Linked DNA regions of Drosophila melanogaster. The protein of the gene in region 3 interacts with the protein of the main gene of each other region in a pairwise test. Each region holds a gene or a part of one and is shown on either strand. Other genes may lie near its edges.

Evidence for each region.
Region 1: the proteins of CG12766 (region 3) and trol interact in a two-hybrid assay, tested with the Drosophila melanogaster proteins (one large-scale study listed by BioGRID).
Region 2: the proteins of CG12766 (region 3) and CG5282 interact in a two-hybrid assay, tested with the Drosophila melanogaster proteins (one large-scale study listed by BioGRID).

The regions. Positions count from the first base shown.
Region 1 is NC_004354.4:2,542,409-2,547,072, reverse strand, and holds the start of trol (terribly reduced optic lobes), read left to right. Parts: upstream 1-1,645; 5' UTR 1,646-1,690; intron 1,691-2,164; exon of another isoform or gene 2,165-2,310; 5' UTR 2,311-2,449; coding exon 2,450-2,608; intron 2,609-4,664.
Region 2 is NT_037436.4:20,423,905-20,427,686, reverse strand, and holds CG5282 (uncharacterized protein), read left to right. Parts: upstream 1-1,615; 5' UTR 1,616-1,727; coding exon 1,728-2,561; intron 2,562-2,613; coding exon 2,614-2,789; intron 2,790-2,842; coding exon 2,843-3,188; 3' UTR 3,189-3,263; downstream 3,264-3,782. Other genes in the region: CG5274 (uncharacterized protein), read left to right, coding at 117-216, 269-1,290; zye, read right to left, coding at 3,465-3,782.
Region 3 is NT_037436.4:3,938,070-3,941,843, reverse strand, and holds CG12766 (uncharacterized protein), read left to right. Parts: upstream 1-1,718; 5' UTR 1,719-1,759; coding exon 1,760-1,837; intron 1,838-1,956; coding exon 1,957-2,124; intron 2,125-2,192; coding exon 2,193-2,365; intron 2,366-2,484; coding exon 2,485-2,629; intron 2,630-2,687; coding exon 2,688-2,885; intron 2,886-2,948; coding exon 2,949-3,149; 3' UTR 3,150-3,220; downstream 3,221-3,774. Other genes in the region: CG10863 (uncharacterized protein), read left to right, coding at 74-218, 275-472, 540-731.

The DNA.
Region 1 (4,664 bases), on a different chromosome or scaffold from region 3:
TTGACTCCCTAAATTGAATGAAATGCTCGAGAGTGCACACATGTCTAAATATTAAATGATTTGAGCAGTTGAAAAAACAAGTGCTACGAAAGTCGAACAGATGTCATTGCTTTTCAATTGAAGAAAATATGTTCAAGAATCGCACTGCGACCAATAAAACATTGAAATGAATTTGTGCACAATTTTACTAAAATTTATAATGTTATCTTATCACTAATTTATAAACTTAACACCTAGGCAAAGCTCAATATTAAGCACGTATTTGTGTATTTGGTGTCTATCTAGCTAATTTCTCCAAGTGTATACAGACCATTGCCATTATTTTCAATAGCGTATTCAACAATTTTCTGCGTGTATTTTTAGTACCTTTTCTTATCTGCGAACGGAAGCTGTGGCCACTTGTGAGCGTTCACCATTTAAATATTAAATATATTTTACATTAGCAAAGGCGAAAAAGGGGAGGAACAGGGAAACGAACCTGAGGAATGGGCCAATTATTCCAGGAGATGGGGCCCTAAAAAATCGCAACGTGTCCATTGGTCCTCCATGTGGGGCGTCGGCATCCAAGTCCGGTAATTCACCCTCACGCATGCGTCATTTTCGGATGTCATTGGGTCAGGCGCCAATGGGAAGCCGCCTTTTTGGTGGTGTTGACAGGGGGGGGGGGGGTGGTGGCTAAATCGGCTGAAGGTCACGGATTGTGGCCGGTCCTATGGCCAGTTGACAAACCGACTTAACCGCCAAAGCCGACGAGCCCGAAATGCTAATATCACATGGATGTCCGTCCTGCCAAACTTGTATTGTGTTGAATATTTAAAATAGTGCTTTGCATCAATTTTAGACCGATGACTGCACATTTAAGATGATTTGCTCACATGGTTGTATGTATGTTTTAGGTGCGCCAAGAATTAATTGTCCATAAACACTAATATTCGTAGGAACAGCGAGTAAAGGCTATAAAGTTCGTGTTTCAAATACGTTTTCACTGGTGTTTGGCTTTCCTACGCGAATTGCATCAGCATTTTATTGGACTCTCCTTTTTTTTTGAGTGTCAAATTCAAAGAACTTCAATAAAAAAATGTGCGAGGAGAGCGCCGCTTTTCGTGGGAGTGAGTGGGATAATTTGCAAACCGGCTGCCGCAGCAACAACGAAAGGTGAAAAGAGAGCAAGGAGCAACGGTTTTCACTTGTTTATCAGTTGACCCAGAGAGCGAGAGCCACTTGGGCGGGTGTTGAGTAAAAAAAAATGGGGGAGGGGGGGCTTACTATCCAACTAAAGTGATAGTTACTTTTTTTTTTCTATCGTTACGGCCTTAAATGCTGCTTTAGCCGACTGGCTAAATCGCGACTACGCTCCGCAAATAAGGATGGACAGGCAGAGCGAGAGGAGAGAGAGCAGGCGCAGCTAACTCTGCGTAAGCGGACACCCACGCATGTGAGCGAGAGAGGGATAGAGGGAGAGGGTAAGGGAGAGAGAGAGTGCGGTGCATCGACGCAACAGGCTTGCAATGGCCATTAAGCGCCGTTAAACAATAACAAGAGCACGCAAATCGCTTCGGCTCCGTCGCGCTTTCGGCCTTCGTGCGTCTTCGGGCGACGCCGGCAGAGCAGAGGCAGCGATGGGAATCGCAGCAACGGTTCTTAGACATTAGGTTGCGCGCCATCGTTCCAGGCGGTCGCACATTCCACGGTGTGCTGTCCCTTTGTTTTCTGTGTGACTCTGACTCTCTTGTGGGGAGCGTTTGTCTTTTTTTTTTTTTGAGTGCTCTCACATCCTCGAAGTGCCGAAATTTTGAAAATCCCCGACAAGATATCCTGGTGATATCGGTTCAACGTTTAAACAAAAACCCAAGCCCTGCTCCTTTTTTTTCATTCATTAACTAGTGTGATCCCAAAAAGGAACCCATACTCGCAACGAATACGAATAGTGTCCATCGCGTGTGAAACGAAACTAAAGAATAAGGAATGAAACAAGAAAATAAAGCGAAAAGGCGGAAAAGCGAACAGAAAGAGGGGAAACAAATATCGGCTCGTCCAGGAGCGAACAGATGATCAAAGGGGATCATTCGGATTTTTCGAAGAAACTTCTGAAACATGACGGTTTCTCTGGTTTTTAATTCGGATTTGGTTTCACCAAAGCCAAAAAATTTTGCTGATGTCAAATCACCGATTTGCTTCCCCTTTTTCCGTGCGCGGAGAAAAAAATCCCCAGAAACATAATATCAGGATGCTCTCTATCTCTGTCTCTGTCTAACGCTTAATTGTTGCTCAATTGCGAATTAATGTCTGGGGCTTTTTTTCTCCGTGCAGTGCCATAGCCGTAACCACAACCTGCCAGCCGTTTAAAGCCAAACTAAACAAAACGAACCGAAACTGCCTTCACAAAGTACCTAAGCCAAACCTAAATAGCTGCCAAAAGAAACCAAAACCGCCGTTACCCGGAAAAGAGATGATGGGATCGCCGGGATCCCAAGCGTCCGCGATCGCGACCTCGGTCGGAATCAGAAGCGGGCGGAGAGGTCAAGCGGGAGGATCGTTGCTCCTGCGCCTCCTTGCCGTGACCTTCGTCCTCGCCGCCTGCCACGCACCGCTGCTGACCAATGCCAAGGTGAGTTCGACCCTCTTGTTGGGATATGTAGTATTATAATTATTACATTGCTATTTGAGGCCCAGGAATGCAGTTAACAATTTGATTAGTTCTATTCGGTGACATGATCCTAACAGCCGCTTACCATTCACATGACCATTGCCCATCAGCTGATGCACATCCCATTCGAGATCGGTAACCCAATGATCTCTTATTCCGGATGACACAACTCTGGGTTCCGCGACGAACTTGAACTATTTAGCATGACACACATACGAGTATTGTTTTTTTTTCCCAATAGGCGGGACAGACAGACACAAAACGAGCGCCACCAGTGATTAGCATAAAAATGTATTTATTGTAAGTGGTTTGGAAAATAGTTTTCCTCCACTCGCCATCAAATTAGGAAGTTGAGCCGGGCTTCGAGGCTTCAGGGTTTCGGAGCTCGGTTACGGACAATGTTAAGGACCGGATTTCGAGTTGAGCAGAGGCCAAAAAAATAGATCACCAAGTCCATTGGGCCGGGGTCATCATCGCAGGTTATCACTCTCTCGAAAAAACAGACGCTGAATTAATTTCTTTTCACAAATTCGGATCGAGTTCAGATGCTGGCTTTTGAATTTGATGCGATTGTGTTCGGATGGCTTTGCCAATTATTATGAGAAGTCGATTGTTTCAGTTCCAAATTCTATCTTTGTGCCTGAAGGAGGGAGGGGTCGCTGTGTGTGTGTGTGCGAGTGTGTGTGTGTATGTTTTCCACCATAATGAGCTTTGATGATAGCGCGTTATCAGCGTGTTAATGACATGTTGCCCACAGACATTTGCTTGCAATGAAATAATTTCTTTAATTAACATTTAAAATCACTGAACGTTTGTGAATGTTTCAATGGCTTTTGTGAACGGACGGCAGTACCTGCTGGACAATTCTGGTACTCTGCTTGATTTTGTCGAGCATGTCGTTTCCATTCGATTTGTTTTGCTGCAGCGCTCACACTTTTTATCACATCGGAAGTTGCGTAAATGAGGCCAAATTCGAACACATGTACACATACATACATACGGGGGCTATGTCGCCTGCTCAGGGCTTATCGGTGGGACTGGGACTGGGAGTGGGACGGGAATGGGAGCCACACTTTGAAGAAGGAACCACTGCAAATCGGACTGCAAACGAGGTCACTGCTGCAGCACGATAGCTCCATCCTCCGCTTTTGCCCATCCGGCGTATGCGTATTGCCGGTCATCGGACATTGCGCATACGATCAGGTGGCACGGTGCCCCTTGGGGCATTCGATATCGTTTATCTTGGGTTTTATTCGTTTTTAAATTGATAGCTGAACTTGACTGAAAAGCACATATGCTAGCTATCAATAATCAGTTTAAACACCATACGTTATGTCACCATTCCTTTCTTTTTGGCAAACTGTGCAACTCGCCACTGATTCCATAGTGTTTCTTGAAAGTCTGAAGCGCAAAGTACAACTCACTGCATATGGCAACTTCTGATGCTTCAAACTGATATTCGCCTGGCAAGCGAATTGTGCTGCTCTGTTTACATCGACAGATGGGTCCTCATTCGATGGCCCTTTTCCGGCTTTCCAAGGGTATCCGATCCCTCACCCCCCACCCTTCTTGGCCCTTGGCTTGTATATCGCTCATCACATCACGCCCCGTTGTGTGCCCCGATATCTGTCAAACAAACTGTCAAAATATTTGCATCATCAACAACACAACTGCAAAGCGAATAAGAAAAAAAAAAAAAAAAAAATTAAAGCACAAAACGGCAGCCAACAGATGAGAAAATATCATTTCGCAGCTTTTTTGACTCGCCCGTATCGTTTTGGTTTCTTTTTCAGCTTTTCGGATTATGTTTTCTTTGTTTTTCATTGGTCTGAAGATGCGTTCGTTGGCACATTCCCTTCGGTTTTCAGTTCTCCTTGTTTTTCGGTTTTCTGGTTTTCTTGTTTCCGTGGCTTCACGGTTTCTGTTTGTTTGTGCAACATATGGACACAAGATGTTGTACCCCCGATCACACATGTGACCGGCTGCTTGGCTGCCTGGCTGTTTGTGTATCTGCCTC
Region 2 (3,782 bases), about 16 Mb from region 3:
GCCAATCGGAATATCTGCCACCTCTAAAGTTCCACGGTTTGTTTTTATTTTTCTGTTGCATTACCATACATTCTTAAAAACCTGTCACTGCTTTGTACAAGATAAAGGACTAGAGGATGTCGATGTCGATAGACAGCAATAAGCTCTTGCTACGGAAGGGCGATATGAAGCTGGATAATTATCCAACTTGTGCGGTGGAGGCACTTACGCGACTGGGTAAAGTTGCTTATTTTAAATCCCAAGCATTTCTTACGCTTTAATTTTGCAGAAACATTGATTGCCAGCAGGAACAAGCAAAACATGGTGATGCAAATTATATCGGAGTTCATATTCCTGGAAAGAACCCCGAAGGATGGCGACGTGCGAAAGTCGCAGGCGCTGCCCATTAGCCAAATGAATCTGTTCCAGGAGTTCCAGCTGATCATAGCGCTGATTGAGTACTTTTCGCGACCAGGAAGAGATGCCACCCGCAACGCCATATTCCTGTCGCTCTTCGGAAGCCACTTGACACCGCAGCGATCCAAGTTGTTGTCCCGGCTGATCAGCACAGCAGTTTCCGGCTCCGTGGCCCCGCTGCTCTCCTCTGCCGGCACATGGATGCAACAGGTGGGGTGCAAGACGCCACTCAGCCTGGAAGTGGCCCAAAATATAGTCAGCGACTTTATCTCGTACTCCCGGAAAACCCCCGAGCAACTCAAGCAGCTGCCCATGGTGGGTCCGCACTTTGCGGCCAACTTTATGGTCGCCGTGGCGGATCTGTACCTCAATGAGCAGCGTTCGCCGACATTGAATCCACCGCCAGATGCTCTGCTGGACACCATAACCGAATGGATGATGGAGAATCCCACTTTGTGTCAGGCCTCGCAGCAGCCTTTGGTCCTGCCCGCCGGAGCCATAGCCATGCCCTTTACCACTCCCCTAGCAGGCCTGCTTCGATGGGTGGTCCTGGCGCCGTTGGTCTCCAACCGTTCCGCCTATAGCAATTTGCATCTATCCCTCCTGCGTGCTCTGCAACAGCTTGTCAGCAGTGGGGAATCGACAGCGCTGCCCAGTCAAGATCTTATGCAGATCGTGAAATCCCTGCAGAGCTACTGCGCACGGCTGGCGGAATCAAAAACCGATCCCCAAGCGGATGCCGCATATCAGAAGTGCATGGAACGCTTCGCCCAAGCAGTGCAAATCGCCCTGAGCTCCAACTGCATCACCAATCAGATCCAGCTGCTGTGCCTCTTGGAATCTTTACCTCCACACAAGCTGATGAAAATCGTCATAGAGGCGCACAAGAAGTAGTTAAATATCAAACACTATAAACGTCAGTCGGTTAATGCGAGTAATTAATCATTAAAATTAAAATGTAGCTTTTACAAATAGATCTAAGACGTTATTAATTAAACATTGAGTCGCTTACAAATCTTTTAAGCCCAAAAATGTTTGTTTGGTTAAAAGAAGAAAGGGTTTAACTATATTAAAAAACAACAATTTATACCGAATATTACATGTTTAAAACACTTTTATCCCGCTCACGCTGGGATGCTGCCATACTAAACAAAATAACTATCCAGCGCGCATGTCCTTGTGAGTAAAATGTGAACACTGAACAGGACACACAGGAAAAATCGATAGTATCCCAGTTTCGAGCTTTCGTCGCAGTGCAAGCTTGTTGAATTGAATCACAATCTACGGTAGGAAACCTCGGGTAGGCAAGAGTTTGGGAACCAGACGATGCAATGAATCCCGTACCGAGCCGCGAGTTCCTGGAGGTTCATCCGCTGCACCAGCATCAACCACACTGTAAGCAGCAATGTTTTGTATTCACGGAGATAGCGGACATCGAACTGCCCGCGGAGATAACCAAGTTCGGAGGTGGAAATGAAAAGATTAGGTGCTCCAACGGGGGCATCCCCACGTACAGCTCCAAGAAGGACTCCTGCAGCGAGTCCTCTGCGGAGAGACCAGAGAGATCACGAGGACGAAAGATTTTGCTGGGCGTTGGTGTGGTGCTCGTGTGCATTGCCATGGCGGGTGGTATTCCGCTGGCCCTCCAGTTGCGCTCTTCGTCGCTCCTGGAGGCCCGACTCGCCTTCATCCGCCGCCTGCTGACGGAGTCTCCACTGATCGAGGGCTCGTGGAAGCCACCGAGCACCATGAGCCTGAACAGCAGCAACCTCTTCGAGGTGCGACAGAATCACATCGGTGCTGTGCTCTGGCCCATTGCTGTGCCGTGCGGAGCTCAGTACTTGGATGCCGTGCAGCTCACACTGGAGGGCATTGATAGGGCCAAGCGGATTACCGCCGCCACAGATTCCATGCACATCGTCGAATCAGCTGATGAAATGGAGCAGACTCACATCCGCGGCGAGGTGGCTGTTCTCATGGGTATCAGTGGTGGCCATGCTCTGGGCACCAGCACGGCCGTCTTGCGTTCCATCTACCTGCTGGGAGCACGATTCGTCTCGATTACGAGCCTGGAGTGCACCACTCCTTGGGCGGCGGCAGCAATCCGGAGACCCGATTATCTTGTTGAGGAAAATGTTACGAATTCATTCAACGAATTTGGACAGGTGGGCACAACCATTGTGATAGTATTTATTCATTCATTTATTTCTTTTATAGACCATGCTCTTTGAGATGAACCGCCTGGGCATGCTGGTGGAGATTTCGATGCTCAGCGAGGCTGCCATGTTGGCTGTTTTGAAAACTGCCAAAGCTCCTGTTTTACTCACGAATGCCACACCGCTGTCCATGTGCAATAGCAGCAACATTGCTTCCATTCCAGACCACGTCCTCAGGTGAGCTTTCATTTAGTCCTATAGGACATCTCTTAATTGTATATATCCCACAGCCTATTGCCGGAAAATGGAGGCGTAATCTTGCTCAACCTGGAGCGTTGTGGCGATCGGACACTGGGCGTTCGCGAGGCCATCACTGCAATCAACTATGTGCGCAAGGTAGCCGGAGTGGATCACATTGGACTTGGAGGAGCTCCGAAGAGCTATGCCCTCCTACTTGCCGAACTGGCAAGGGATAGGGTGTGGGGCAATGCTGCTATTAAGAAGCTGGTTGGGGGAAATGTGATGCGGATTCTGCGGGAGATCGAGACCCTGAAGAATCGATTGCCCTTGTATGAGGAGTGGATTCCGCACGAGTCCATCGAAAGCAATTCCTATTGCCGATATCCCGAGTCTTAGAACCAACTTCTTTTACAGACTCAAGCGATTGTTCTCACATAATTACTAAAATATTTAATTAAATTATTAAAGTACAAGAGATTTGCTGTACACAAAATTAATAACCGTAAATAGGTAAGTGATGATACCCTGTCTAAGCATAATTTCAAAATTGATTCAAGAGATTACATTTGTACATAGTTTATATTTAATGAATATCATTCTAGGTAAATACATATCGGTGTATGATGATATTATAATATTTGTATGCCTTACAGTCTACTAGACCTTCAACGACTACTTCACACTGATGCCAGTTCTAACTCCGAGGGTCAGGGAAATCACTTCTTGTTCGGAATTGTGCTCCTGGTTGGACTCGCGCTTTATGATCCTCTTAGACAGGAGGTCATCCTCGTCAAGTTTCAACTCGCGCTTGACCCTCGAGCTCTCGACTTCGTCATCATCGAGCTCGAAGACGTTGTTGTCGGTGAAGGCCAATTGATTGATTTCATTGAAGAACAGAGTCTTCGCATTCCGAATGGTTCTATCGTAGCCAGGATCACTCAGTGGCGGCAGATATGTGGCTGGAATTCGGCTTGTGCCCCTGTATCCGGA
Region 3 (3,774 bases):
ATTACTTTTCTAATGCGGGTGTGCTTCGTTTGTATTTGCTTGACTCTTAATGACCAAATTTGTGCTATTACAGCGATATCGATTACCTAGACACCTGGCGCGAAATGGAGAAGCTCGTGGAACTGGGCCTGACCAAGAGCATCGGCGTATCCAATTTCAACTCGGAACAGTTGACTCGCTTGCTGGCCAACTGCAAGATCAAGCCAATCCACAATCAGGTGCGTCAATTGTGGTTATGCCTTGGGTTTCATATTCCTAATAGACCATTTTCCAGATCGAATGTCATCCCGCGTTGAACCAGAAGAAATTGATTGCTCTGTGCAAGAAGAATGACATTGTAGTGACCGCCTACTGTCCCCTGGGCAGACCCAATCCAGCAGAAAAGACGCCCAACTACATCTATGATGCCAAGGTGCAGGCAATTGGAGACAAGTACAAGAAGTCCACCGCCCAAGTGGTGCTCCGATATCTGGTAGGGATTACGAACTAGGTTTAATGAGAACAAAAACTCTTTATTAACATAATGTTTATCGAAATAGATTGAGATTGGAACCATCCCATTGCCAAAGTCCTCAAATCCCAAGCGCATCGAGGAGAACTTCCAGATCTTCGACTTCCAGCTGGATGCTGAGGATCATGCCATTCTGGATTCCTACAACACCGGAGAACGTCTGATTCCCATGACCCACGCCATCAAAAGCAAGAACTATCCATTTAACATCGAGTTTTGAGCTGGAAAGCAGGAGCAATGTTTGATATTAATTAAAGTGGTTGTTAAATCTGATATTTTGTGTACATATACATATGTTTTTTAAAAATAAACACCAATAATAATTATTTTTGAGATCTTTTTTCATGTTGAAATATTTATGTTTATTTTGGAGATTTTTATATAACAAGCACACTTATTTTTTTTTTTTTACATAATATCGCATTAGTTTTACTTTTAAGCATTTTGATAGTACGTAATTCTTCTATTTTAGTCTTATCACTTGAACTGTTTCTTATTTGCAGTCAAGGGTGTGGCAAATATTTTAAAGGGGCATAAAATATAATAAACATTTGAAGTCATCTATGAAAACAATACGAATTCATTTTGTGATTATATACATATAATCTTAATTAAACAATACCCTTTTTTGGACACCACTGCTGAACATTTAATGATTTGAGAGAGAGCTTTTGCTCGATCATTTAGTTTTTAGTGTGGGCTTGGCATGGAAAATTCCACTTAATCAAAATCATTTGGTCTAGTACAATTTCGCCAACACTTGTCTGAATTCAATTATTCACAACTGCAAGGCAGATTGCAAAAATGAAAAGCTATAAAAGGGAAGAGAATATAAACAAACCCACATGTAATAGGTAAATAAACAAAACTAGCGATAAAGTTAACCGAATCAGCTTTGCGCGCCACTCAACTATCAAGCTATCGATAAGTGTTTTTCAAAAGTGTTCCCACATATTTTTAAATGGGATTTTACACATGATTTGGTTTGGATCATTTATAAAAAATATGTGTTTAATTTATCCTTATTAAAACATTAAAATAATGCATTTAATATATTGGTTAGCACACTTAGAACCTACGCTCCTTGCGTCTCTATAAACTATTTCCAAGTTTCTCTGCCAGCTTGGCCGTGTTTTATCTGCAAATGCAAAAGGTCTTTTGAAGGTTCTATGGGCCCATTCGAAAACCTTATAACAGAGGTGAAGCGAGCAACCCAAGCATTCAGTGTTCAACTTTGTAACCGCGAAGATGACCGGGAAAGTGGAGTACTACTTCAAGCACAACGACGGAACCCATATCCAGGGAATCGGACTGGGCACCTTCGCGGTATGACATTGACTGGTTGATCATAGCATATCCGATACGGATCAGGAATGTCGCCTATCAGTAGCCGGGTTAACGTCATTTGAAGAACCGCTAACGTTATTGATGACTTGTGATTTCAGTCGACGGAAGGCGATTGCGAACGGGCAGTTCTCCACGCGATTGATGTGGGCTACCGGCACATAGACACCGCCTACTTCTACGGAAATGAGGCCGAAGTGGGTGCGGCGGTTCGGAAGAAGATTGCCGAAGGCGTCATCAAGCGGGAGGACATATTCATCACCACCAAGGTCAGTTGGCAAGTTCTTATAGCAGGCATATCATAAACTAATCCTTAAGTGGCCACATATTTCCGCAGCTCTGGTGCAATTTCCATGAACCGGAAAGGGTGGAGTATGCCTGCCGAAAGACCTTGAAGAATATTGGCCTGGATTATGTTGACCTCTATCTGATTCACTGGCCTTTCTCCTATAAATATCGCGGTGATAACGAACTGATTCCCAAAGATGCCAATGGAGAGGTGGAACTTGTGTGAGTAAAATGAATAATATATGAAATATTTCGAATCGATTGGCACTTACAAGTGATTGTGAAATGCGCCTTCTATTATCAGTAATCTTACTATGCCGTTTACTTGCTTCAAACTACAGAGACATTGATTACCTGGACACTTGGGGCGCCATGGAGAAGTTGGTTGACCTGGGCCTGACCAAGAGCATCGGAGTGTCCAATTTCAACGAGGAGCAACTGACGCGCCTGTTGGCCAACTGCAAGATCAAGCCAATCCACAATCAAGTAACTTAGTCACAGGATGTTCCCTCCAGTTTCTCAACTCATATTGTTCTTTCTGCAGATTGAGGTACACCCCGCGTTGGATCAGAAGAAACTGATTGCCCTGTGCAAGAAGAATGGAATCCTGGTGACCGCCTTCAGTCCACTGGGCAGGCACAATGCCGAGTTGAGGACGCCCACCTTTATGTACGATGGCAAGGTTCAGGCCATCGCAGACAAGTACAATAAGTCCATTGCCCAAGTGGTGATCCGATATGTGGTAAGGATTTTCGATTTAGGCCTTATGTTGAACCGGATTTCTCATGATGAATTCTAATTTCAGATTGAGCTGGGAACCATCCCGCTGCCCAAGTCCTCCAATCCCAAGCGCATTGAGGAGAACTTCAATGTCTTCGATTTCAAGCTGGATGCTGAAGATCATGCCATCTTGGACTCGTATCACAATGGAGAACGTGTTGCCCATGCCCGACAAGCCATCAAGAGTAAATACTATCCCTTCAACGTGTATAGTGCTTGTTTTTGATACAACAAATATATTTAAGTTATTATGATTAATAAATAAATAGTAACCCTTGTAAGGGAATGCCCAAAAGCAAGAAGATTTCTAACGTCATTTACAATCGGTAAGTATTTTTCGTAAGTGTTTTGTATATGTCTTTTTTGGCCTTATCATCACAAGTACTTCCCATTGATATTCACATGGATTGGTTAATAAATCAAACAGCGCGGCACTTTTTTGTTCCAGTCATTCAGTTTTTTCTTAGAGAATGTATATATTTCTTAATGCAAAAATTTAAAAACTGATATACTTTTACAACAAAAGTGAAAACTTTTATTTTTGATTGTATTTAAATCGAAGTTGTACCCGTATCATAATGCACAATAGAACAGATAATAGAAAATAGGGTAGCGGATCCATTATGAAAGTCAAGTTCTCGATAAGAAAAATATAAGAAGTCGATTGTTTTACCCAGCTAGCTGTGAAAATAGGAAATAATATGTTTGTATTAAAATCTACCAATGTAAATAACATTAAAAGCTTTTTCTCTGCTGCATTTAAAATAAAATTGAAATGATCAATGTCATGAATAGAAAAATGTTACAGCGAATATTTTAAATTTCAATCTCGCGGTATTTTGTAACGCATT